6 linked regions of the Oryzias latipes genome follow. The protein of the gene in region 1 interacts with the protein of each later gene in a biochemical or structural test. Links are inferred from orthologs where the notes say so. Each region holds a gene or a part of one and is shown in the gene's direction. Other genes may lie near its edges. The genes, in order: mtor, maf1, stat3, eif4ebp1, prkn and akt1.

Region 1 (4,190 bases):
TGTAGAAAAAAGCTGATTGACAGAACTATCCTCTCCATTGTGAGGAAGTAAAATAAGGAAAAAATGTGTGCACTGATCTGTTCTCTAAATTTAATGTAGAAGAATGACGCTAAATCAGTTTTAGCCTCAAAAGTGGAAAATACAGGAGGGTTGAAGAAGAGAAACTGTAGCATCAGACAAATAAAAGATTGAAAGGTCTGTCGAAACTGAAGAGTAGGGTATGAGTGCCAGTTGATGACCTGTTGACCTGTTTGCCTTAACAAACTTCTAACATGTAACACCTACACTGAAATGCATAATAGACAAATGTTGGTCCAGATTTATTTGAAACAGTACAGAAGTATCCCATTTCCATTGGACTGATGGATTTAGGACTGTGAAGGTCTGGTTCAAGTGTTCTGTAACAACACAGCACAGATGGAGAGGTGGAAGATCTCAGACCTGACTTTACACCTGGACAATGTCTCCCCCCTGAGGAAGGCATGGGATCAAGTGTGTTACTGGGACACACCTGAAGACAGGTACAGCAACAACAACTTTCAATTGATTCCTGAGGTCAAATAAGATTTATGTAAAAAACCTAAAAGACAAAAAATATTAGTTGTAATGTATATTATTAAATAATTGTGTACAACTCTAAAATACATAAATTCCCAAATGCACTTTTTATATTTTTATTGTATTTTATTTATTTGCATGTGTGTTATTATTTTTTACTTACTTGTCCTGTCCAACAGCTGGGCAAACACATCAGGGCTGAGGGCTTCTTGTGTTAGACAGATTTTACTGTTACACTAGGGGTCATGAATCTTCTGACACGCGAGGTGTCTATTTGTATAAACCCCTTTGGGATTTGAGGCAAAACTTTATTCACATTTATTGTGTATGAATGCATTTTTTCTTGGACTGGACGGGGGGGGGCTGGGAGGTTAAGGAAATTGGAGGATGATTAAAGAAACACAAACAACACAAAGCAACAAGTTACTGGAGGTCCATCACTACAGTTTGGTATAGTTAGTCTAAAAGGGTAAGGCCTGACCCCAGACTCACTAAAATATGACAAAAACGTACTTTTTTAAAAGCTGCAATCATGCAACAGAAAAACACTGACCTTAGCAGAGATTTGCTTTGATTTTATTTTTTACTTTTAGTTTTTTTCGGTTTATTGAGAACCTTTTTTCATTACATCACTGCATGGATAACATTTAAGCTATTAAGTTGTAATTTATTTTCATTTTTTATTTTTTATTGTAAATGATGTATCCATTTCCCATTTGCATGTTACTGTTTGCGCCCTCATTCGGTGAACGTAGGTACTGCATAGCAGCTTCAACATCACACGTGGTTTAAGAACCGCCCAGCTGAGCTCAGAGAAAACCTGCGCAGTGAGCGTACTGCGCAGCACAGTGCCTGCGGAGCTACCAGCGTCCTTCCTGCTTATCCTGGCTAGCCGTCCGAGTGCTGGCATTCTAGTGTTCGCACTATGACAAACATTCCGCATTAACGACACAACAGAAACGTTTGCATCATACCAACACAAACAAGTAAGTGACCGCCTGTTCGATGCACGAGCTAGCTAAATCCTTGCACCCGCTAACAGTTGTTGAACACAGAAACGACTTAACGAGGGAGTCCCAGCTTATCATATCGCGTAAATGCAATGACCAGAACCTGGATGTGCCCGGTTTGAATTTGTAAAAGGAGGATTCGAAGTTGAAGTTTTAGAGTACTAAAACCGATGTTGTTACGTGCTAACGTAGCTAGCCCGCAACTAATGATGACGTCATCGAGGTCGAGTAAGGTCTGAACTTGACACTATTTTTCCATAACTCGACGTTTGGACGAACTCTGATTCTGCCTTTGTGTCGTTTATAATAATTCTTCTTCCAGAGTTTATATTCCAGATGTCAGTCGGGTTGTGTTTGTCCTTAAAGCGTGTTGTCATTCTCCGATTGTCTGACTCTTGTCTTTTAGTTATTTATGTTTTTCCTGGTGTAACACTGTGATGCCCGTGGTTGTCTTTCCAGCTGTCGCCATGGTGATCCTGTCAGGCACAGCCACAGTGCTGCAGCAGTTTGTCAGCGGCTTAAAGAGTCGAAACGAAGACACCCGAGCAAAGTCTGCCAAAGATCTGCAGCATTATGTGACCACAGAGCTGAGAGAGGTACCTGCACGGAAAACCGGGATGCTTCGACTGCCTCACACTTTGTTCTTCATTTTCTGATCTTCTGCTTCAGCTCAGCCAAGATGAAGCCACGACGTTCTACGACGAGTTAAACCACCACATATTTGAGCTGGTGTCCAGCTCTGACGTGAATGAGAAGAAAGGAGGCATACTCGCTATCGGTACGCTCAGTCACGACCTCCAACCCCACATGCCTGCTGTGTGTCCAGTTGCTTTATGTTGTTGGTGCTGCACCTATGTTCCAGTGAGTCTCATTGGCGTTGAGGGAGGAAATGCCACCAGGATCAGTCGCTTTGCCAACTACCTCCGCAACCTCCTGCCTTCCAGCGATCCTGTGGTCATGGAGATGGCCTCCAAAGCAATGGGCCACCTGTCTATGGCGGGAGACACCTTCACCGCTGAATATGTGGAGTTTGAAGTGAAGAGAGCTCTGGAGTGGCTGGGGGCCGACCGAAACGAAGGCAGGCGCCATGCAGCTGTGAGTCCCGGGCCGACCACACGGACTGTTTGTTGTGTAAACAGAATGCTCGCCATCCTGAAACTGTCCTGCCGCACTTTGGAGCTTCGGTTCTTGAATCATGTCTGACACATCTTTGGAAGTTTGAGTGTCGAGACAAAAGTTTCCACAAGTTACCGTTAAACAGGTCTGCAGTGTAACTTAGTGACGTTTATTTCTGTGAGACTTTTGCCAGAAAGAGTCATAAATGACGTGACCAACGACATTAGCAAAAGTCCTCATTGCAGCACCACAATTTGACCCGCGGCCGTCAGAAAGGGAAAGATTTCATTGCTGCCCTTAGCGTCTCAAGACGTAAAGGACAATAAGAAGAAGAATAACGCAACGTTCAACTGAGTCAAATGCAGAGAAAAGGTTAAAAAAAACCTAAACTGAGCATTTCCCAGTCACCTTCATGTCATTCAGATCTCCCTTTAGAGGCGTTTCAGTAGAAGGATGTCAGCAAAAGCCAGATTGAGATTGTTCTTCTGCAGTAAACTGCTCTGCAACAACCTTTTCTAGAATCTTTGAGACTAAAAAGAGTTTGGAGATGGTCCTTTAAGATTACTTTGAGATGGAGATGGATGGATTTAGCTTTTCTAACAGGACGCCTGTATCTGCTTTCCAATCAAAGGACTGATGTGATAAAACACAGCCGTTCATTTTAAAACACTGAGATGTTGACACGTCCATAATGAAGACCTGCTTCAAAGCTTTTCCTGCGTCTGTTCAGGTGTTGGTGCTGAGGGAGCTGGCCGTCAGCGCACCCACCTTCTTCTTCCAGCAAGTCCAGCCCTTCTTCGACAACATCTTTTATGCAGTCTGGGACCAGAAGCAGGCCATCCGAGAGGGCGCCGTGTCGGCCCTGCGAGCCTGTCTCATCCTCACCACCCAGAGGGAGACCAAAGAGATGCAGAAGCCTCAGTGGTACAAGGTGAGACAAACGGCATCCGTGTTTTTAACGGTTCCCTTCCCCAGAAGGTGACGGGTCTCGGCAGAAAGCCTCAGCCCTGTCCTTGTCGTGTCCCGCAGCAAACGTTTGAGGAGGCGGAGAAAGGCTTCGACGAGACTTTGGCTAAGGAGAAAGGGATGAATCGGGACGACAGGGTTCACGGGGCGCTCCTGATTCTGAACGAGCTGGTCCGCATCAGCAGCATGGAGGGAGAGGTGAGATCTCCGTCCACGGTGGACCAAGTCCCGGGTCAGGAAGCTTGACAGCTCACGGCCTTTTCTCCGTCCAGCGAATGCGTGAGGAGATGGAGGAGATCACACAGCAGCAGCTGGTCCACGACAAGTACTGCAAGGAGCTGATGGGATTTGGAACCAAGCCCCGCCATATTACGCCCTTCACCAGTTTCCAGTCGGTGCAGCCGCAGCAGTCAAACGCTTTGCTGGGCCTGCTGGGCTACAGCACGCCGCAGGGCTTCCTCACCTTCGGAGCCGCTCCGGTACCGGCCAAGAGCTCCCTGGTGGAGAGCCGGTACTGCCGTGAGCTGATGGAGGAGAGGT
Region 2 (4,012 bases), on another chromosome or scaffold:
TCAGGTAGTTTTAAATGTAAAACTTTATTGTAATCACATCTGTTTTTGTCATTATTATATTTGGGGCATTACTTATATAACACCTCATTTTTTTATCATATTGTTTGCTGTATTTTGGTTTTCCAGACAGAGAGGACATATTTTCAGGTTTATCTTCCTAAAGAATCCAAGGACAGAAGCCTCCCCATGTTCTTCAGTTCTAAATGGAGTGTGGGGAAAGTGGTGGATTATGCGGCTTCTATGGCCGGTCTGAAGAACAACAATAATGTTCTGACAGCAAAGGTAAATGTTGGGGAGCAAATACTGATAGTTCAGTAAAATTCACCAACCACTGCTACACCTGCCGTCTTGTGTTCTGTAAAAAAAAACTCTACTTGTTTTTCATTCTATTCAACAGTTCAACCACTTCCTGTGCTTCGGTTATAAATGTTTTATCTATCATTTCTGATATATTTCAACTAAATGTTGAGTAATAAAAAAAGTAAAATGTGCTTGGAGATACAAGTATTGATACAAAAGCAGGTCTTTTGTGTTAGTTTGAAGCTTATAAAAAATAATGTTTCTTTCATTGCCTTTATGCCGTAACAGTACCATTATCTGCCGATTTGCAGAAGCTGCGATTCTGCCATCCTCAAACAGGTGAAGCTCTTCAGATGGATGACACGCTGATCTCACTGCTGTCTCACCCAGACACTCCTCTATTTAATGGGGGTAATGTGATCCTGGAGTACCTGGATAATGAGTGCAAAGGCTTGGAGGACATTTCAGACTATATTACTTAGATGTGATCCATCTACGCTACCTAGTGTATGGATCTAGTGATTAAGCATTTTGTATTTATATCAATGCATTTTTCTTTTAAAATGTTTTTTTTTTTTGTATATGCACCTTGTGAAAAAAATAAAATAAAATGTTCTTGACGGAGAGCATATTCAGAAGAAGAGATTGATATTGCTTGATGTTTTTCTTATCATTCAAATGTGATGTTATTACCAAGTACAAAAAATCAGATTTATTTATTATATTTTAGATTTAAGTCAAAAAAGCCCTGTCTTCTTTCTGTTCTTGCAAATTGTTATATCCTAATGACTAAACCTAACAACATGTACTTTATAAGCTCCTCAGACTGAAAGGAAAATGTAGCCAATCACGAGAGTGCACGAGCAGTAGGCGTGTCCATCATCCGCATATAAATGTAAGGGGCTGGGCTTTCTGACACAGTGTATTCCGTTGTTTTGATGTGAGAAGAGCCTTTGTTTTTGGTTTCGACGTATTGCTACGTTAGTTAACCGCTATTCTTTATTAATAACATTTTCGCTACTCTTTTTTTTCTTTTCTTCCTGATCGAGTCGCTGAAAAAGGAGCGACTTGATCCCGCTAATACAATTCGCTTTGTGGAAATCAGGTCAAAAGGGATGCCGCTGCAGAAAGACTCCGACGGACGCCAACAGTCTTTGGATTTAATCTCATCGCATATAATCGGAGAAAGCAGCTTCTGTATAAAATTAAAAGCCCTCAGAATAATTCCTGCTCGACCGAGTGCTTCTGAAAGATACCCGAGCTTGAGTTCACACTAAGGCTCGGTGGCGAACACAGAGAAGAGGCGTAACAACAATTAGCAAGTGCTAGCGTTAGCAGAGGAACAACAACAACAACAGCGGATCGTTGATTTTTCTGTAAGTGTTCGGTTAAGAGGTCAGATTTTTACGGGGACTTGGATTTAAAAGCTTTTGCTGTGTGACTGCGGTGAGAAGGCTTTTGTTGGTAAGTGAATTCAATCATTTTATTAAACCAGGAAGACGATTTATCACTTTCTTTTCGGGGGTGGGGGAGGGGCAGCTGCTTCTAATTGGGGGAAATGTCCTCGCGGGGCGCTGTTCTCTGTCGGTTGTAATTAATTAATACATACACTTTAAAAGAAATGCGTTATAACGTTTTAATGCACTCGCATTTTTTATGGGGTAGTTTAAAAAAGAAAGTATTCAAAATATTATAACGTTTTTTGTATTTTACAGCCATGAAGCTGTTGGAAAACTCCAGTTTTGAAGCTCTCAGCTCCAGACTTTGCGTTGAAACTGGAGAATCTCGTATCATTGGAAGGTAAAAGACTGTGCAACCTTTAATTTTTTTTAATGTTCTTCTTATTTAGTCATGGTAGCTTGTATGTACTTTTAAGGAAGTTGTGGAATCCCCCCCCCAGACTTGTAGAAACTCATTATTGGCTGCCAGCCTCTGATCTTCAGATATTTACTATTATTTCAGCTTTATATGGAGACATTTTCCTTATTTCTTTTCCCCAATAAGAAATCTGAAATGTCCATCTTTACTCATCTTTAAACTTCAATTTTATTGCACATGTATATTTATGCTTTTATTTCAGCTCCGTTGCTTCAAATATGCTTGTTCAATTTCCTTCATTCCTTGAAATGTCTTCACGGCAGAAGCACTTGAGCAATGTTTTGCATGTTGCACACCTCATGACTTGTTTAAAGTTTTCCTTCTGCAGACAAGATCCTATCAACCTGAAGGGTTGGTTAGGGGGTGTGGACTGTGGAAAGATGAATAACTCCTGTGTCACAAGTGGGGTAGTGGAGCAGACAAGCGCCTTCATGTTATGCAATACTATGATAAAACAACTATGGCAGACTGAAAGTCCTCAGATAACCCAAAGTTCTTGCAATTGACTCTGAAAGCTTAGAACACCCCCCCTGCATTCTACAAGTTATGTAAACCCTCCAGGCTGGGCTTGTAAATACAGATGCAGTGTCAGTGTTGTTATATAAAAGCTAGTAGGCTGTGGAATAACGCTGCTCTATTTTGCGTGGGTGGTGAAACTGAGCTCTGCAGCAGAGGCTGAAAAAGTGTCGCAGATCACGGGGTCCTCTGTGGTTATTTTGGAGACTGTTGTTAGGAGCGCCACCGTGCACGTCTGTGCGTGCAATGCACAACAGCTGAGTCCCGCTGCCGTTAAGGCTGCTTAGTGGATTATGGAGGGAACTGAGCTAAGACTGGGACATAGTTACAATATTTTCTGCGGATTCATTAAAAAAGTTTCTTTTTGGGTGTCACAACATTCATTTTTTTTGGAAGTGCAACAGCTAAATTATGTAAAGAGCCGTGTTGATGAGCTATTTTCCCTTTGTCGTCTGGTTACCCATGCTGTTTATTTTGGCAGGACAGCTGTGTGTAGATGCCAGTGCTACTATTTCCACGGCTTTATCCTGTGATGTTTCTATATTTAGTCTGCAGCGATCCAAAGAGGTCTTGAAGGTTTAGTGTCTCTACCAGACTGCACTTGTGTGACCTGTTCTTGAGTAGGAGCAAAATAAACACCATTCTGCTCCACTCGGGTGTCTTATCAGCGACAACAGACCCAGAAACTTGAGAATGGAAAATCTTTAGCTGGAACTAGTCTTGTGTTTCTGCACATCTACTAGAAGATGTCTTAATTGCATGTATAATAAATGCCATGGTATTATGTTATAGCAGTAATTTAGTCTAATTGTGGCATTTTTCTGATGGAGGACAAATATTAAGTAAATTAATCTGAAAATTGTGTTGTAAGGTATTCATATTGTTGTGAATCAGGAGCTAATGGAAAAATTCTAAATTGTATTTTTTGTATTTGTCACAGCCTCCTGGCTCCGCTCAATGCCATTTAATTGTTGACGAGTAGATCCATGTACGTCTACGTCTATCTGAATCAAAACTGTACGAATGGATAGCTCGCCATTTTTGTTGCACTAGGCTCGATGATTAAGACCATAGATGATGGAAGTGGGTCTTCAAACTTAAGAAATCCATTCATGTCGTATGTTATCCATGCATTTGTGAGACCCCTATTTCATTTGTTTGATCCCAATTTGATATAATTTTAAAAACTTTACTGTGAGAATAACTATAATCTGTTGTTGTTATTGGTTTTTTTAAATGACAACTTTCTGTGATAAAGAATGCAAAATTTGTTAATAATTAATTATTTATCGTGCAGTTACCCCATGTTAAAAAATGT
Region 3 (4,018 bases), on another chromosome or scaffold:
GTCCTGCACAACCAAAACTTTCATGGTTTATTTTTCATGGAAACCAGGTGAATTTGTGTGTCTGTTTCTGAATAAAGTGTGTGCACTGCAATTTGAAAAAAAAAAGACTCTGTTCATTAATCTTGAAGAAAAAAAGTCATTTTCTCTTGAAGAAAGGAGCCAAACAAAATGAGAAAAAGCTACTGTAATTGAAATTCTGCAGCTGATAGAATAGATTCAGCCGGTGACACCTCATTTCATTAAAAGCTAAGGACACACGGCTCCAGACAGGAGCAAAGGGTGGTTCCTCTTTGTCTCCCTACAGAGTTGTGATGACCTTGATGTGATGGAGACACATAGACACTCACTCTCTGGCAGAAAACAGCATTAAAATAATCAATGGGTGGGAAAATGCAATTAGGGAGAGTGCACTCTCAGAGCAGGATGGAGAGCAGACTAAAAGAGAAATAAAAAGCATGCACAGGGGTGGAATGATGTTGGTAGAAAATAAGAATGTGTTTATTAATAAGCACATTATTTACAATGGTGGAGGCAGGAAATATGTGTTTTAAGCCTGTAAAATAATACTTTTTTTGTACATTATAGAGTTATTACTTCTAAGAATCATGTGTTTCACTACAGTACATTTGGACTTGTTTAAATTTACAGTCATAACTAACACACTAGGAATAAGGTGAATACATTGCAACAGCAATGTAAGACCTGTTTTGGTTATGTTATTTGCATTTTTAATTAAAAATAAAGAAAACTGTACAACTTTATCGTTTGTTTACATTTTAATATTCAAGCCAGCAGTCAGAGTAGTCAATTAGTCATCATTTCTTTTTTTACTCTTCTACCGTGAAAAAGGTCTGGCTATTGTGAAGCAGTATCATTATCAAATTTGATGACGTCAACGTTGCCGGTAACTCAGATGACTTCCAGGCTGGCTGTTCTCTTGAAATACCAACCCTCCCTCTGAAATAAGCGAAACACACGGGCTTCCGTATAGTTCCGCGGGAGGGAGGGTTTGCTTTGAGGAACAGCTTCGTTGCGACAGCGGTAAACAGAGAAGGCTCAACCAAACTTGCTGCTACATCCCGCCTTATCTCCATATAAAGTCGTTTATAGTTGGTATAAAAAAAATTAGCGACTCTCATTGGCGGAATGAAATGTCAACCAAGTAGATTTGGAAGTTTGTTTGGCTGGAAAGACTGCAGTTTAGTTGATGGGCTGGGCGGGGGGGTACTTGTTTCTGAAAGTGGTTTCTCGTGGTGCGAAGATTACGGTTTGCGTTACACTATATTTGGGAGCACTTTTCCTCGTTTATGACGCTCAATTTCTACTTTTTCTTCGTTAAAAAGTTGTCGCTGACGTCTTTGTGAGCTTGTGTTTTTTGTGGGAAAGAGACCAAACTGCTCCGGATCCAACGAAGGTGGTAAGTCGTGACTCAGCTGTTAACATATTATTACACTAAAAAAAAAAAAAAAAAAACAAAGAAAAATTCAAAATATTGCCATTGTATTAGTTAGTTTTCTCCAAGGATGTCGTGCTAAAGCGAAGCTAGAGCTACAGCCATAACTTAGCTACAGTCAAATGTAATATAATTCTGTGAATGCATCATGCCTAAAGTTAGTGACAGACAGACAGACATCGTGTGCCAGGGGTCTTTCTTACGTAAGTCTTTAAACTAAAGCCATCACACATTTCAATGTTAGTTGCTGAGTGACGTTAGTTAGTAATAATATCACGACCAGGACTCAAAAGTGATGACGTTTTTGTGTTTCTTTTTCGACTATCCGGTGGTTGGTGCCTTAAATTTAAATAATTTACTTGTATGGAGGTCGTTGTTTATTGTTTTTTTCCTTAGTTGTCCCGCCCATCATATTTATGAAGAAAAGTACTGTTGTTCATTCGTAGCACAAATAAGATCTGCAGGTATATTTAAGCCCCCAATAGTTCTGAAAACGTACATAGAATTACATATACATGTATAGTATAAAGCATAAATATGGCTGCATGACAATTTTCTACATAAATATCATAAAATAGCATGCATTGTTGTCCCTGAGCCATCTCGCAGTCCCAGGCTTTGTAAAAGGGAAACTTGGCATGGTGACTGTGCTCTGATGTTTAATAAGGAAGTACTTTCCTGGAATATCACTGACCTTATGTAAGGATTGTGCATTACCAGTAAGTAACCACACAGAAAAGAAAAAAAAACACTACAGCAGTTCTCTTTCTGACTTTCTTATTAATCATTCTGATGATTTCTCAAATAGCAGTGACCTGCATGGAGCTTTGAGAAAGGAAAGAAAACGATTAATCAGTGACTGTAGTGAATTTGTGCGATTTTACATACCTAGATTTCTCAACATGATGCAGCAATGTCTACTTCATATTTCATTAAAATACAAAGATCAAACAGAAAGTTTCAGTGTTGTTGTTGTTGTTGTTGTTTTACTTTTTAGTACAAGGCTTTTCTGAAAATTTGTGATAAAAGTACTCCTGTATTTTTTCATGTAAGGAGGTTCGTTACAAGATTTTGCTTGTATTGCGATTATATATTATTATATATAATTTGCTGCAAAATAACATTAAAATAGTGATAGTACCCTAAAATGAGTTTCCTGTGTTGTGTCAGATAAGCTCTGAATACTCCAGTTTCAGTTTTGCTGTTAGAATAAATAGCATAAAACATTTTTTGTTTGTCCAAATGATATTTATTGCAATGAAAGTTCATACCCTGTATATTATTACAGCTTTGATCTGTATTCTCTGGGCAGGAAGAGCATTATTTTGGCTATTGAGAAGGTCATATGTATGAGTTTATTTTTTGTTTTGCTTTTTTCAAATACAGTGCAAGCATCTAGTTCACATTAGCAGAATCAACAATACAGACACTGTTGTGAGAAAGCTTGTGTAACAATAGTCAAAGCATTGTGTGAGCTTTCGGACAGAAACTGGAGCCTGTAACCTAATATGGGTGGTACAGGACATGTCTTTCTGTTAAATGCCTTGAATGGGAGCTCAATTTGCAAACAAGGAAGCAGTAGCCATCTTTTATCAGCTGAGTCAGCCAGCAGGATGTGATCGATAAATTCAAAAACAACAAAAAGTCCCAGATCGGCAGGTGGTTAATGCTTAAAACACACGCTCGGATTTGAAGGGAAATCCTAATCTGACAGTCGCCTATCGCTTCAGAGGAAATGGTTTGTCTGGGTTTTGATCCATGCCCTCTGCATCTGAGAGGAAGAAGTTTGCTTTGTCGGTGTTTCATGCAAAAGTTGCCGGGGCAATTCTTTGACCAGAGATAAGCTTTTCAATGCTTTACAGCTGTTCACTCTGACCTATATTTTTTAGGGGAAGGCACAGTTTCAGAGAACAGGAAATGACTTTTGGCAACGCGAGGCCTCAGCATTGGCCTGTTGTCGTTTTCAGAGAAATCTGATGTTCAACCATTTCCCATTGGTGCAGTCTGATGAAGAACATTGAGCGCGGTTTTCTAAAGTATCATTTTCTGTTGATTTTCTGCCTGTTTTGTGTTGATAAAGCAGTTTCATCTCTGGCAGATTTGAGGCAGTGCTTGTCAGGATGGCTCAGTGGAACCAGTTACAGCAGCTGGAGACCAGGTATCTGGAGCAGCTCTACCACTTGTACAGCGACAGCTTTCCAATGGAGCTACGCCAGTTTCTTGCACCCTGGATTGAAAGTCAAGACTGGTAAGAAATGATTCAAGTCTTTGTTTAAAAAGTCTGCTTTTATCTGCTAGATAAAGCTGACCTTGATCTTTCAGGGCTTTTAGGTTTGCAGCTATGAAGTCATAGCTCATATAAACACTTTCTCTCACATTTTATGTTACTGCAATGCACTTTACCATGTTCAATTTGAACTTTTTGTGTTGTGATCACACACAAAAATTATAGTCTTTAAATATTTTCACAAAGTTGGGATTTCTTTTCAATAAACCTGGGAATTTTGTGTTGTTGGAATCTGGAAATCGATATGTTTTTGTGTTCCCCCCACTATTTTCTAAGGG
Region 4 (3,983 bases), on another chromosome or scaffold:
TATTCCTTTAGAATGGTTTGGAGACATTATTGCAGTAATATTACTCTATACTAAGGAATGCAACTGCACACATGCACAGAAGATGTTTTTAAAAATGAAAAGAGTATATATATATATATATATATATATATATATATATATATATATATATATATATATATATATATATATATATATATATATATAAAATGAAATATATAAACATATATATTTATTTAGAATGCTATGCACCCTTACTTGTCAAATGGGATTCTAGTTATGTTATGGATGTACTTTTAGCATCATACAGCTGTAGCTACCAAGAGACTGTTGAGTTCTGGGTAATGCCTGCAACACTGGGACAAATAGGGGTATTGTGGGTATTTTAACTAGTTTTGCTTCCTTTTTTTATTTTCATGGAGAGTCAAAGATGGATTTAAAATGTACTTGTAAAATCCTTTTAATCCAATCAAAATACAAGGACATCTATTGACAATTTACTCTGTACACCAGCTCAACATTTACAAAATTAATAAAGAAATGAAATGTCTTTGTGTATGGTGAGTTTGCTTTTGTTTAAGGTACTCCATGACACATCAATTAAGCAATGATCTTAACATGTATGCAATGAGCTTTGTATGTTTCCACAACTGAAAATCACAAACAATTCTATCTTATCAGACTAAATAACTAACCAATTTAAACATTTTTTCCCAAAAATAATCTGCAAAACACATTCAGGTGCATAAGATTTTTAGAGGTGCACAAAACAAAATCTTCTAGGTTTCAAACTATTGGAAATGCCAAGGTATCTCCTTTTTTGTTAAGTGCAAGCACTAAAATATCATGTTTAAACTAAACTACTAACAGATTTTACGCTGCTAATCAGCCTAAATATTTATTCTAGTCTATATTTATTCTGGATTGCTGAACTCTGTATGTTGTAGGGCCATGAGGGAGAAGCACCCAGCTTGATTCACAACTTGTTTATAGAAACCAAGATGAACCTCGTACAAGTTCACAAAAATGACTAGAGTCCTAACTAATCCACACTAAATGTGCGCAATTTGCTGTAAAAGTGAATATGTTTTTTTTGTTTTTATAGATCCCTTTGGATTGAAACTACAAAATCAATTCTACATTTGATTATTTTTTTAACGCTGGTGCAGTAGCGCCAGTCACCAGTAGAGGGCGTAGACGTTTTCTGGATAGCATTTTTCCCTGCAGTCATCTGTCTGTCTACCTTGCCTGTCTGTTGTTTTGTATGCATGTGGAAGTGGAGGAGCGTGTGTCCTGAGGTTCTTTTAACAAAGATTATCGACACCTCCTGTTTGTGAGAGCGCGTGTGGTGATAATTTGCACTTATGAAAAAGAGGTATTTATTTTTATTTATCAAAGGCAGCCGTTCTTTTGAGCCAAATAACTATCTGGCTTTGCCCTGGGACGCCCAGAATTTCTTTTCGTGGCATATTATTTAGTTAGATAGTTTTAGTACAAGAGTCCTAAGAAAAGATGTCCACCGAATGCCAGAAAACAACTGCTAAGGCCATTCCGTCCACAAAGAGAGTAACCATCAACAACGCTGATCACATGCCCCACGACTACTCCACTACCCCCGGAGGGACCCTGTTCAGCACCACACCGGGTGGTATGTATAGAAATTTCAAGTCTTTTTCCAACACAAAACACGCATGTGCGAAGATTTACTCAGATTCACGCCACATGGGACCCACATCCTTTTAGATCATCGCTACTGTACAGCCAGCTGATAGCTTGCAGTTAAGCTAGCTGCTAATGCTAGCTAGCGGGTGTTTATTTTAAGCTAGTTTAAAGTAACTCAGTCGTATGCATTTTAAAAATTTGACATATTGTTACATATCTTTATTCTGCTCAAATTGTCTGCTTGTGTTTGAAGTGTTTATCTTGGGTTTCTTGCTTTCTTTTAGCTCTGGCTGTACTTGTTGCTAAAGCTGGACAGAATAGCATGTGGGCGGAGCTTAAGATGTGAAGGGATTTACGGGTCAGGGGTGGGCCTCGGCCTTAGAGGGGCAGGATTTATAAAAACACGAGCTGGAAGGGGTGGGCTTAAACATCAGACTCCGCCCTTCCAAACCTTGTACTGTTACACGTAAATGTAATAATATTTTCCACAGTTCATTGAAGGTGTAACTTTTATACAAAACCAACATGATATTCCACCAGCAACAAGCCTCTCAAAACTATTTATCTGTCATTCTTTACATATATTTATTTTTTATAATCCCACTGGCTGTTTATTATTGTCTCTGTATTGTACACTGTGTACTACATTGGTACACAGATGACCTGATCCCAATGGCGATATGATGTACACATTACATCTGAACCATTAGAGTCGGATCCTGAAATACTTAAATTAAATGTGTCCAAACCAAGATTCCAGATTTTAATGTTGATCTTAAAAGTCATATTTTAACACTTCAAAGCATTTATGTATGTACTTAAAATAATTGCTTTATTTGTTCAAAACGACGGAAGTAAATGGGTCATGTTGTGTTTTCTTTCTCGTTTGGTAAAACTACAGGGTTCACACTGTGTGGCAGCACATTGCATGCTATTTCTAAAGAACAGGGGAGCATGTGCATCAGGTTAATAATTGCTGGAAATAAGCGGTAGCTCCGTTTTTGTGTTGCTTGAGAAAGGTGTCCACCTGAGTGGGGTGGTTGAAGTAAATGGAAGTAAAATTATTTGAAATGTTATTTTTAATCATTTGCATTGATATACACACTAGTTTAATGATTTTTACTGCCTTTTTATGTGGAATTCCTTAGAGATGTGAGCCAAAAAAAAGCATTTTTCTGATAAATCAGTCTTGATCGTCTAACCTGAATACACCTGAAATTATGTTAGCTTTTTTAAACTGCTGGGTGCACTTTTGATCTAGCTTAATGATTATCAGTTGTCTTTTGTGTTCTATGTTTCACTTAACTTATTCATTCCAAAGCCATTTTTCTGGAAAAGCGGACAATTGAAAAAATGTTCTGACGCACAAAGCGTTTCTGCACAAACAGGTACTCGGATCATCTACGACCGGAAGTTCTTGCTGGAGTGTCGGAGCTCTCCTTTGGCAAAGACTCCTCCACGAGGCCTTCCCAGCATTCCAGGGGTGACCAGTCCTCCAACCAAAGAGTTCAACAAGAAGACCCTTAATGGAGAAGTAGTGAACATAGACACGCCTGCGGCTGACAGTAGCAGTGCAGGTATGTTCACAAATCATAGTCTGACCAAAGTATTTAAAAGAGTCAAATTTGGCATTTTGCTCCAGCATAGTGTTGTGTATAACATTTAATGAATCCATCCACAATAGGTAGAACATGGAGTTATTTTAGGCCAAATGCATGTAGTGGTGCAATTTCCAGTGTAATAAAGTTTCTTGTCTGCTTGTAAAAGAAAAAAAAACTTAGTCTTGCAATATAGCATACATAATTAGATGTATTCTAGTTGGGGTTTTTCTACTAAATGTAGAATTTGGTAGCTAAATGCTTAAAGAAGAATAAGCAAGTTGATGCACCTTAATCTTGAAGCAAGATTGTTTATTTTGACTGAAAACATTGTCTGTCAACGTCCTTGTTGCCTCCTGAATTTTAGAAAGTTAAAGTATAATTTTTGTGTGCTTTTTCTAGGTGACGATGCGCAGTTTGAAATGGATATATAGGTGGATCCAATGCTGTGAATGGAGTATCTGGAACGTCTCCTCTTATCCCATCATCATTTCTTTGGAGGAAAAGTGATCTCTTTTAGAATCTGGGTTAAAAATGTCTGTCTTTGATACTCATATTAATGCCTGAAGATCACAAGCCTTTTTTTTTATTCTATTCAAGGTCTAAAACCTATTTGCTGATGATAAAGTGTGCCTTCATGTAGTGGCATCAAACGGAACACAGACACCAACAATGCCTCATCAGTCAGCAGCAAGAAAGTTTAGACATAAAGAGCTCATTTTCATCAGATCAGGAGTGTTCCAG
Region 5 (3,500 bases), on another chromosome or scaffold:
GCAATCCTGTTTCATGTTTGGAAATCACATTTCGTGCACTACTATCTATTCCTCAGTGTGTTCTGCCACAAACACCCGCAAAGCACACTCATCAAAGGCAAACACACTAGATGGATTCTTGCAAGCGGTATTTTACTGAAACTATTCGTTAAAAAAAAATCAAGTGAAACTTGTTTTTGGACACGTTGTCAAGTTTGCACATGATTTTATGTGTGGAAACCTGTATGAAGTCGGGGGTTGAATCATGCCAGCTGACATAAACATGAAAATGAACATTAAATTGAAAAAATAACTTTATCTTTAACTTTAACTGTAAATTTGAATGTCATTACTTTGCTCTGACACTTCAAACTGCAGTTTGGCCCACCTAAGCACAAACTCACTCTCACGTATGGTTTTCTTTTGTCTTTTAGGGGCGTGGTCCTGGTCTTCCAGTGCTCAGAGCGCCATGTGATATGTCTGGACTGTTTCCGTCTGTACTGTCAGAGCCGCCTGAACGAGCGACAGTTTGTTCACCACGCTGCGATTGGATACTCTCTGCCGTGTGCAGGTGAGAAGCGGGGGGTCAGTGTGGTGACCGTTTGCATGTCAGAGTTACACCTACAGGGTCGTCATTCGCATTCACAGCTTTGCTGCTGCTACAAGATGTCCATGTGGACTTCCTCTGTGCCTGCAACTGTTTCCAAAGCCCACCAGCACCTTTCTGTGCTTCTAAGCTGAGTAACCATTTCCAGAAATGCCCACAGTGTGAAGTTAATAAAGTGAAGTACATGAAGACAATCCTAAAAAACAACAACAACACAGCTAAAGAGTTGCTCGTGTCCTTCTCCAGAGGTTCCGTCAAAAGTGAACAGATTTACTAAATCTTGGTGTAGTATTCCGTAAACAATCCCTCTCACCGAAGCATCAATAACTCAGCACAAAAGACCACCAACTGCGTTTTCCTTTTTTTTTAGGAGGTGTCTAAGATTTGGAGCTGTGGTACAGTCACCACCATGCTGAAAGATTCACCTCCTTCACCACATCACCTGTTTTGACTGTTATTATTGGGTGGTGGAGGACAATAAAGACCAAAACAAACAGGAACAGACCACACCCCAAAGCAAAGAAGAAATGAACATATGCCTCCTTGGGTGTACTTTTTTGTACTAAAAATGCACATTCCATTTGTACACACAATATTGTTCACGATTCTGTTTACTTTTATTGGTAACATTTCTGCTATTGTTCACAATTTAACCTTGGAGGTGAAGAGGTCAGGTGGAGAAGCCTCTTCCTTGGCAAACCTTGGCTTGATAACTTTGGTGCTACGGAAATAGCCAACAAATATAGGAACCAGCCTATGGTTCCTCAGGCAAAGGGTCAAATCAGAACCTTCTGGTCCCCGCCTGGTACTGAGGAAAAAACTGTTTATGGTCATTGGCTCAGATTCAATGGCTCTCCAGAGTAACGAGAGCCTGTTGAGCCCTTCATGGTGGTTCAAACTCACAAACATGGACCCTGATAACAGAGGATAGGGGGGCTGGTCTTGCGTTTCTGGTTAACCTTTCAGATTTGCCCACTGGGCTGTGGATGGAAACCAAATAAAAGGCTAACTGTGATCCTAGACAGCTGACAGAACTCTGACCAAAATAAGCAGGCTTGTAATCTGAAGACTTGATGAAGGAGTCTCAGTTCCCTTACTTGACAACCTGGGTTGTTGTTGTTCACTTTTCAGCACATCCCTTCAGGGGTTGCAACAGTTTATCAGCTTTGACTGATTCAAACATGTGGTTTGGGAGAGATTTTTATGCCGGATGCCCTTCCCGACACAACCCTGTATTTTATCCAGGCTGGGGACCGACACAGGGAGACCCAGACTGTAACTTGTCTGTAACTTGTGTTGTAAAAGTTTGTGGACTCCCGAAAAACAGCAACAACTCAGGACTTGAGAGTATCATTTAAAATGGAACTTGAAGAGTTTACAGAAGTAAACATGTCAGGGCATTGGTACCTGTTCTATGAAATGACAGTAGTATACTCATGACTGGGAAAATCCCAATACCAGGAAAATGCCTGTACTTTTTCAGCTTTGTTTCAACTGTCTCTACCAATTTGCATATAGCTGAGCTATAATCAAAGATGGATGACAACAGAGTTCTTAATAAAACGTAATTTCAATTAGAAAGTTTCTCAACATCTGGGATTTACTTTCTACAAGACAAAATTTCCAACAAACTGCTAGGAAATGACACAAACAGTAATAAAATGTTATTTTTTTTCTATTCTCACCAAAAGCCTTGGTTAGTTTCATCTGCAAAAATTGGAGTGAAACATGAATGAGGTAAGGGCTTTTCCTGCTGGAGGTGCATCTAGAGGTCTGAGGCACCTCACTCCAGTTGGTGGTCAGTAGACATGAAGGATCATGAACTTTAGAAATCCAAAGAAGATTTCAGCCTATAACCAGTTGTCTGTGATCCTAAGTCTGGGGAAAAAAACAGGTCAGAATCAAAAACAACAGTCTGATGACCCAAATCAAAAATGTAAAATGTGGGCAAATTAGTCCTGGACATTGATGAAGAACATGAGTCACTAGCTGGAATAGACTGTGAGCGGCATGGATGTAGGCAGGTACTCACCTGAACCAGACAAAACACCTTTTGTCAACATTTAAACAAGAGTGAGAGCACAAGCGTGAATCCGATCTGTATGTGTGTAAAGACGCTGCGTTTGTGTCTACAGCGGGCTGTGAGGACTCGCTGATCAAAGAGCTGCACCATTTCAGAGTTCTGGGTGACGACCAGGTAAGTGCACCTCAGATTCTCTGCCACAGCATCAGGAACACATGCTGAGCACAAGGGCTCTGACACCCACGTTGAAGACAAGCCGCTGGAGTTCAGAGGCTCTGATGATGACGGAAGAGGGATGAGCCGCTATTGAAACTGTGTAGGTGACCTCATGGGCACCCAGCAGGTCCAGGACTCTTCATCACCACCATTCTGAGCTTTGATGCAGCACCCACCAGCTCGGCCTGCTGACACACGGACGTTAGGGGATGATGCTGCTCCAAAGTGATGTGCACTCGGAGTTTCAGCAGGTCCTCATGCTGCCCTGTGATTGGCTGACAAAGAGCTTTCATCAAAAAGCAGCTGCTGCGGCCATGTGCAAATAAGCCAATGTTTTTTAGACGGACCTTTTTTTCATAGAATTAAATCACAAAATAAACTATCACACAATAAAAGAAGAAACAAACTCTTTTTGTAAAAATATACCTGCTATAAAAATAAATATTCACTCTACAATGTGATGTAGGTAAATCTCACTTGTAACACAAAGGAAGAGACTCAATCCTTCCCACCTGTGCACAGGTAACTTGCGGTCTCAGTCCTCTTTCTCTATCTGTATCTTACAGTATGCACGGTACCAGCAATATGCCACTGAGGAGTGCCTACTGAAAATGGGAGGACTCATGTGTCCGGCACCTGGTTGTGGGGCGGGGCTCCTGCCCTCTGACCCCTGCA
Region 6 (4,135 bases), on another chromosome or scaffold:
TGGAAATGCGGAGAGTAAACCAGTCAATATGAGGGTTATGAAGTTGGAGCAAGGAGCACCCCAGAATTATAAGGGTCTGAGGAAATTGAGTAAAAAAAAAATCTATGATATTCTCTATGGTTACCGGAGGTGAGAATGAGAATAAGTTTGGAACGATTCGTGATCCGGGAAAGTTGTTGACCACCTAACCCGGCAGCGTTGGAGAGTCGAGTGGCCCGGTGGGTAACGTGAGTTGTTTAAGGAGATGCTGATCGATGAGGCTGTGTTCAGCGCCAGAGTCAATAAGAGCCCTATATTCGTGAATGAAAATTGGGGAGAGATTCTACAGGAACAAAAATAAATTTATTTTCTTTGGAGTTTTCAGAATTATCCCCCCGTGGCCAGTCATCTAACAGGGGGTACTGGAGTTTAAACGGATGGTGCATTGTGATACTAAGTGACCAGAGTTCCCACAATAAAAGCATAACCCCTCTTTTAGAATGATAATAATATTGAAAAAGTGTCAAAAAATGTATACTGTATGTAATAAAAGTAAATACTTATGTGTAGTGCATGAAAATAAGGGGCATAAATAAAATGTACCTTTTTTTATATATTTTACTGGAAAGATCAAGTTTTTTCCACACCAAGCCTTGCATATTTATCATTCTTGACATTTAAAGTCTTTACTGATTTATACGTATTTTAACAAAAAACACATTATTTGTTCCAACCAGCTTTATATTTGTTTAATCGTCCTATCCAACTGCTTTATATTTGCTATAAAAAATAAAAATAAAAAACAAACACACACACACACAAAATTGAGACAAAAACTTATTTATTTGGTGACATTCATGCATTTATTTTTGATTCACTTTTTCCAACGTGTGCTTTTTTCATGTTTATTCTGTGACAAAGACTCTCAGCATCTTCCTCTCAGCCTCCTTCCTCCTCATCCTATTTTCTTTTGACAATCATCCTTCAAATTCTGCACTTTCACTTCTGCCCTGGACCTGTTGTTTTCTCTGAGTGATCATACCAGCAAAGATTACAGCCACAGCAAATTAACAAAAATGAATCACCACTGACTTCCTACAGTAAATCAATCTTGAACAGAATCTCATGTTCCATGAAGTGAATCAAGTCATTCATTGCAGGAAGGACCCCTTCAAACATTAGCGGGACCTCTGGGGGTCCAAACACCCGCTTCACCACCAGATAGAACACAGAGGAGTTCATCAAGTGCATCCAGACCTCGCAGACCCGCTCCATTAAAAAAAAAAAAAATCATTTCTCCCAAACGGGACAGCAGAGATCCAACGGCTCGTCTTGTGGAGCTGATAAAAGACCAGCGCTAGGACCCGGGAGAGCCGGGCCGCCACAGAGGCATTGCAGACAGCGCGTTTGGGAGGTGTAGTGGAAGAAAGGCAAGAGAAACGGAGTAAATGAGAGACTTCTGTGCACATTGTTGAAGGACTTACCAACTCAAAATACCGCCGAAACGGCCCACTGTAATGAGACGGACACGCTGTTGAGTTCCCGCACAGGTAAACGGCCGCGTTTTCCGTCGCGTGGTTAAACTGCAAGAGGCCGACAGCCAGACAGGGTAGGTCCCCATTGTACTTACATGGGATGCGGTTATTCTCACCCAAGCTGCCCTGCTAGGCCCCATATCCTTTTTTTATCCATTGCGAAGTGAAAACCCCCGAAATGAGACACTTTTATGGCTCTTTTTTGTCGCCGTAGAATCGCCGCGTTCCAGTTTAGGGCTTATGAACTCGTTGTGGTTTTGCACCAACCGCAGAAAGACACTTTTTTCAGACGCTAATCATTCATTTTTCGTTTCTTTGTGAAGACTCACGGAAAATATTGACGTAATTGGGCCTTAAAGAAATAAAAGAATAAATAAAAAAAGTTGAGTCCAAACTAAATGCTCAATAATAGACAGAGCAGCTCATTCATTGTTATCTATTAGCACTTTGTTTACTGCTTCTTCTTCTTGAGCTCAGAAATGCTGCCACACATTTCAGCTTCAGCTATTAAAGGTTTGTTTCTATCACTGTCAACAAATCTTTGCTGGGAATTGTCACCCTGCACTCTTGAAAACGTGTCCTTTCAGTCATTTTATGTTTTTTGGCCTCTGGCTTTCGGACACCAGGGAGGTCTCAAGGAGAGGCCTCAACTGTTATTTTCATGTTTTCCTCTCCAGTAATCAGTTCAATGACATAATGCTTGTTTTTATGGTTTCTACTGCCCTCACTGTCATTATTCCACCTACAGCGATGACTGTTACTAAAAGCATCCCATTTAGCCAAAGGTAGTTTATTTTCTTTTCTTTTTTTTCCTCCCCAGCAGTCTTATAGATGTGGAGGTGCTGCACATGGGAACAGGACAGCCTTCATGGAAGTGTGAAATCATGTTTGACTTCCGTCTCTGGAAGTTTCCAGAACATTGTCCCCAGGCGGGCTGTTCTCTTGAGTGTCAAAGTTGTTTTGTTGGTCATGAGATTGCATTGCCTCAGTTTGTGTACACAAGGGGACGCGACATGTGACCCCCGGAGAGGACGCAACAAGCTGGCGTGGTGATGCAGCCAGTGACTGCTGGGCTCTCCCTGTTTTATTTAGAAAATACCAGCAGCCTCCCACCCAATGCCCTCGCAGCTTCATTGACGCAAATGTGCCACCGGTTGCATGCTGGATCAGAGGGTTGTTGCTTGAAACGTTTGGTTTCTGCAAAAGAGACTCCCAGATGGTCCAGGCTGTTGCGCAGGTGAGTCAGGTTGCCTTCAAATTGGCTTCTCCATCGTTTGATGGAAAAAACAAAAAAACAAAAACAATCACATCAGAGAAGAGCTCAAAGTTGAGCTCTGAGCTGCATCTGTACACTTCTGCACAGCCTGTCTGGACAGCCTGAAAGTGAAAACAGTTCTGGGAGTCATAAAGGGTTTGCTGTTCATGTCATCACAGGATTAAGCTTCTTGCTTGTCAAGATTGCTCCTACTGTGGTTTGGTATTTAGTAACAACTACTCCACTTAGCCTTAATATTATTATTATTGGTGATGTTATTTTTTTAAGGAACCTAAAAGAGGAACGCTGTACGGTGTAGTAGATCACACCAATGCCTGTTCCTATTGTGGCATTTAAAGCACACCAAGCATTGCCTCAATGTTTTCTTTTGCCAGGATCAGGGGAGAATGTTTGATCTCGTCTTTCTTGTAATGATTTCAAAAAAGAGTACTGTTCTACCTGTGTAACCACAAACCAGCTGCCAGGTTTTGCTTACTAAAACGGAAACAGAAAAATGAGGAAAACCAGATTTGAATCTATTGATTTGGAGTGAATTTGGTGGTGTCTTGATGACTGCTTGTTTTTTCTTTTTTGCTTCCTGCCTCTAACACATGGGACGGTTGTCTCTGTCCTCCCAGTCACAAGCAAACTATTTGACATCTTTTGCTTCATAGCACTGATTAGTATTGAAAGGGGTCCCCCCCCCCCCCCCCCCTCTCCCTGCAAAGGTTTAGATAGAAAAATGAATGATTGAAAGCGTCTCTGACATCAGGGCAGCCAGGCAGGCGGTGGCCCACCGGACTGCAGATCATGTGACCCGCTGTCAGGGTACTGGGTTCATTCAGTGGCTGCTGGCTGCAGCCCAGCTTTTCCACACAGCAGAGCCGCAGCAGCGACAGGTCGCTCCCGGTTTAAAAACAGCCAGATCTCTGTTGTGGCTCCAGAGTCAGACTTGTGTGCAGTGTCGCCATTTTGGTTTGTGCGACGGCTCCCGGTCTGTATGAAGGTATGAAAGCACGCATGCCGGTGTCACAGAGTCCGCCTTAAGATGCTGACGTGATCCCAACTGCTAGAGTGATTAACTGCGCTCTGTCTGTGTGCTTTTTACAAATCCACGTGCGCAGTGCTTCACACGGTGGCTGTGTGGGACAACACCAGCCACTGTGCAGTAAACACAAGCGGCGGCTTCAAGAGACTTCGAAGGTTTAGTCAATGATGGAAGTGAGAATGAAGCTGCAATAACAGACGCGCTCATCAGATATTAAATGACAGATGTTATCAAGCCCCGGGGCAGTTCTGATATGACTCGTAGGCTGTCGAGTCACATTCACTTCCTGTTGATGTCAAATAAGCTGGATGAGGTTAG

Evidence for each region.
Region 2: of the proteins of mtor (region 1) and maf1, one has a biochemical effect on the other in vitro, tested with the Homo sapiens proteins (2 studies listed by BioGRID and IntAct). The link is inferred for Oryzias latipes from reciprocal best matches to the Homo sapiens genes MTOR and MAF1.
Region 3: the proteins of mtor (region 1) and stat3 form a complex in vitro, tested with the Homo sapiens proteins (2 studies listed by BioGRID, with this or other methods). The link is inferred for Oryzias latipes from reciprocal best matches to the Homo sapiens genes MTOR and STAT3.
Region 4: of the proteins of mtor (region 1) and eif4ebp1, one has a biochemical effect on the other in vitro, tested with the Homo sapiens proteins (29 studies listed by BioGRID and IntAct, with this or other methods). The link is inferred for Oryzias latipes from reciprocal best matches to the Homo sapiens genes MTOR and EIF4EBP1.
Region 5: of the proteins of mtor (region 1) and prkn, one has a biochemical effect on the other in vitro, tested with the Homo sapiens proteins (2 studies listed by BioGRID). The link is inferred for Oryzias latipes from reciprocal best matches to the Homo sapiens genes MTOR and PRKN.
Region 6: of the proteins of mtor (region 1) and akt1, one has a biochemical effect on the other in vitro, tested with the Homo sapiens proteins (19 studies listed by BioGRID and IntAct, with this or other methods). The link is inferred for Oryzias latipes from reciprocal best matches to the Homo sapiens genes MTOR and AKT1.

Annotation. Positions count from the first base shown.
Region 1 is NC_019865.2:1,214,094-1,218,283, reverse strand, and holds the start of mtor (serine/threonine-protein kinase mTOR), read left to right. Parts: upstream 1-1,390; 5' UTR 1,391-1,544; intron 1,545-2,027; 5' UTR 2,028-2,035; coding exon 2,036-2,164; intron 2,165-2,237; coding exon 2,238-2,346; intron 2,347-2,430; coding exon 2,431-2,663; intron 2,664-3,414; coding exon 3,415-3,615; intron 3,616-3,713; coding exon 3,714-3,848; intron 3,849-3,922; coding exon 3,923-4,190. UniProt on the Homo sapiens protein: Serine/threonine protein kinase which is a central regulator of cellular metabolism, growth and survival in response to hormones, growth factors, nutrients, energy and stress signals.
Region 2 is NC_019878.2:20,068,124-20,072,135, forward strand, and holds the start of maf1 (repressor of RNA polymerase III transcription MAF1 homolog), read left to right. Parts: upstream 1-1,212; 5' UTR 1,213-1,764; intron 1,765-2,015; 5' UTR 2,016-2,017; coding exon 2,018-2,100; intron 2,101-4,012. Other genes in the region: zfand1 (AN1-type zinc finger protein 1), read left to right, coding at 1-4, 127-282, 612-782. UniProt on the Homo sapiens protein: Plays a role in the repression of RNA polymerase III-mediated transcription in response to changing nutritional, environmental and cellular stress conditions to balance the production of highly abundant tRNAs, 5S rRNA, and other small non-coding RNAs with cell growth and maintenance.
Region 3 is NC_019866.2:6,345,275-6,349,292, reverse strand, and holds the start of stat3 (signal transducer and activator of transcription 3), read left to right. Parts: upstream 1-1,218; 5' UTR 1,219-1,417; intron 1,418-3,551; 5' UTR 3,552-3,573; coding exon 3,574-3,701; intron 3,702-4,016; coding exon 4,017-4,018. UniProt on the Homo sapiens protein: Signal transducer and transcription activator that mediates cellular responses to interleukins, KITLG/SCF, LEP and other growth factors. Once activated, recruits coactivators, such as NCOA1 or MED1, to the promoter region of the target gene.
Region 4 is NC_019867.2:12,548,044-12,552,026, forward strand, and holds the start of eif4ebp1 (eukaryotic translation initiation factor 4E-binding protein 1), read left to right. Parts: upstream 1-1,183; 5' UTR 1,184-1,491; coding exon 1,492-1,627; intron 1,628-3,029; coding exon 3,030-3,218; intron 3,219-3,641; coding exon 3,642-3,673; 3' UTR 3,674-3,983. UniProt on the Homo sapiens protein: Repressor of translation initiation that regulates EIF4E activity by preventing its assembly into the eIF4F complex: hypophosphorylated form competes with EIF4G1/EIF4G3 and strongly binds to EIF4E, leading to repress translation.
Region 5 is NC_019873.2:12,968,318-12,971,817, forward strand, and holds part of prkn (E3 ubiquitin-protein ligase parkin), read left to right. Parts: intron 1-413; coding exon 414-550; intron 551-2,721; coding exon 2,722-2,783; intron 2,784-3,391; coding exon 3,392-3,500. UniProt on the Homo sapiens protein: Functions within a multiprotein E3 ubiquitin ligase complex, catalyzing the covalent attachment of ubiquitin moieties onto substrate proteins. Substrates include SYT11 and VDAC1.
Region 6 is NC_019880.2:14,666,888-14,671,022, forward strand, and holds the start of akt1 (RAC-alpha serine/threonine-protein kinase), read left to right. Parts: upstream 1-1,335; 5' UTR 1,336-1,588; intron 1,589-4,135. UniProt on the Homo sapiens protein: AKT1 is one of 3 closely related serine/threonine-protein kinases (AKT1, AKT2 and AKT3) called the AKT kinase, and which regulate many processes including metabolism, proliferation, cell survival, growth and angiogenesis.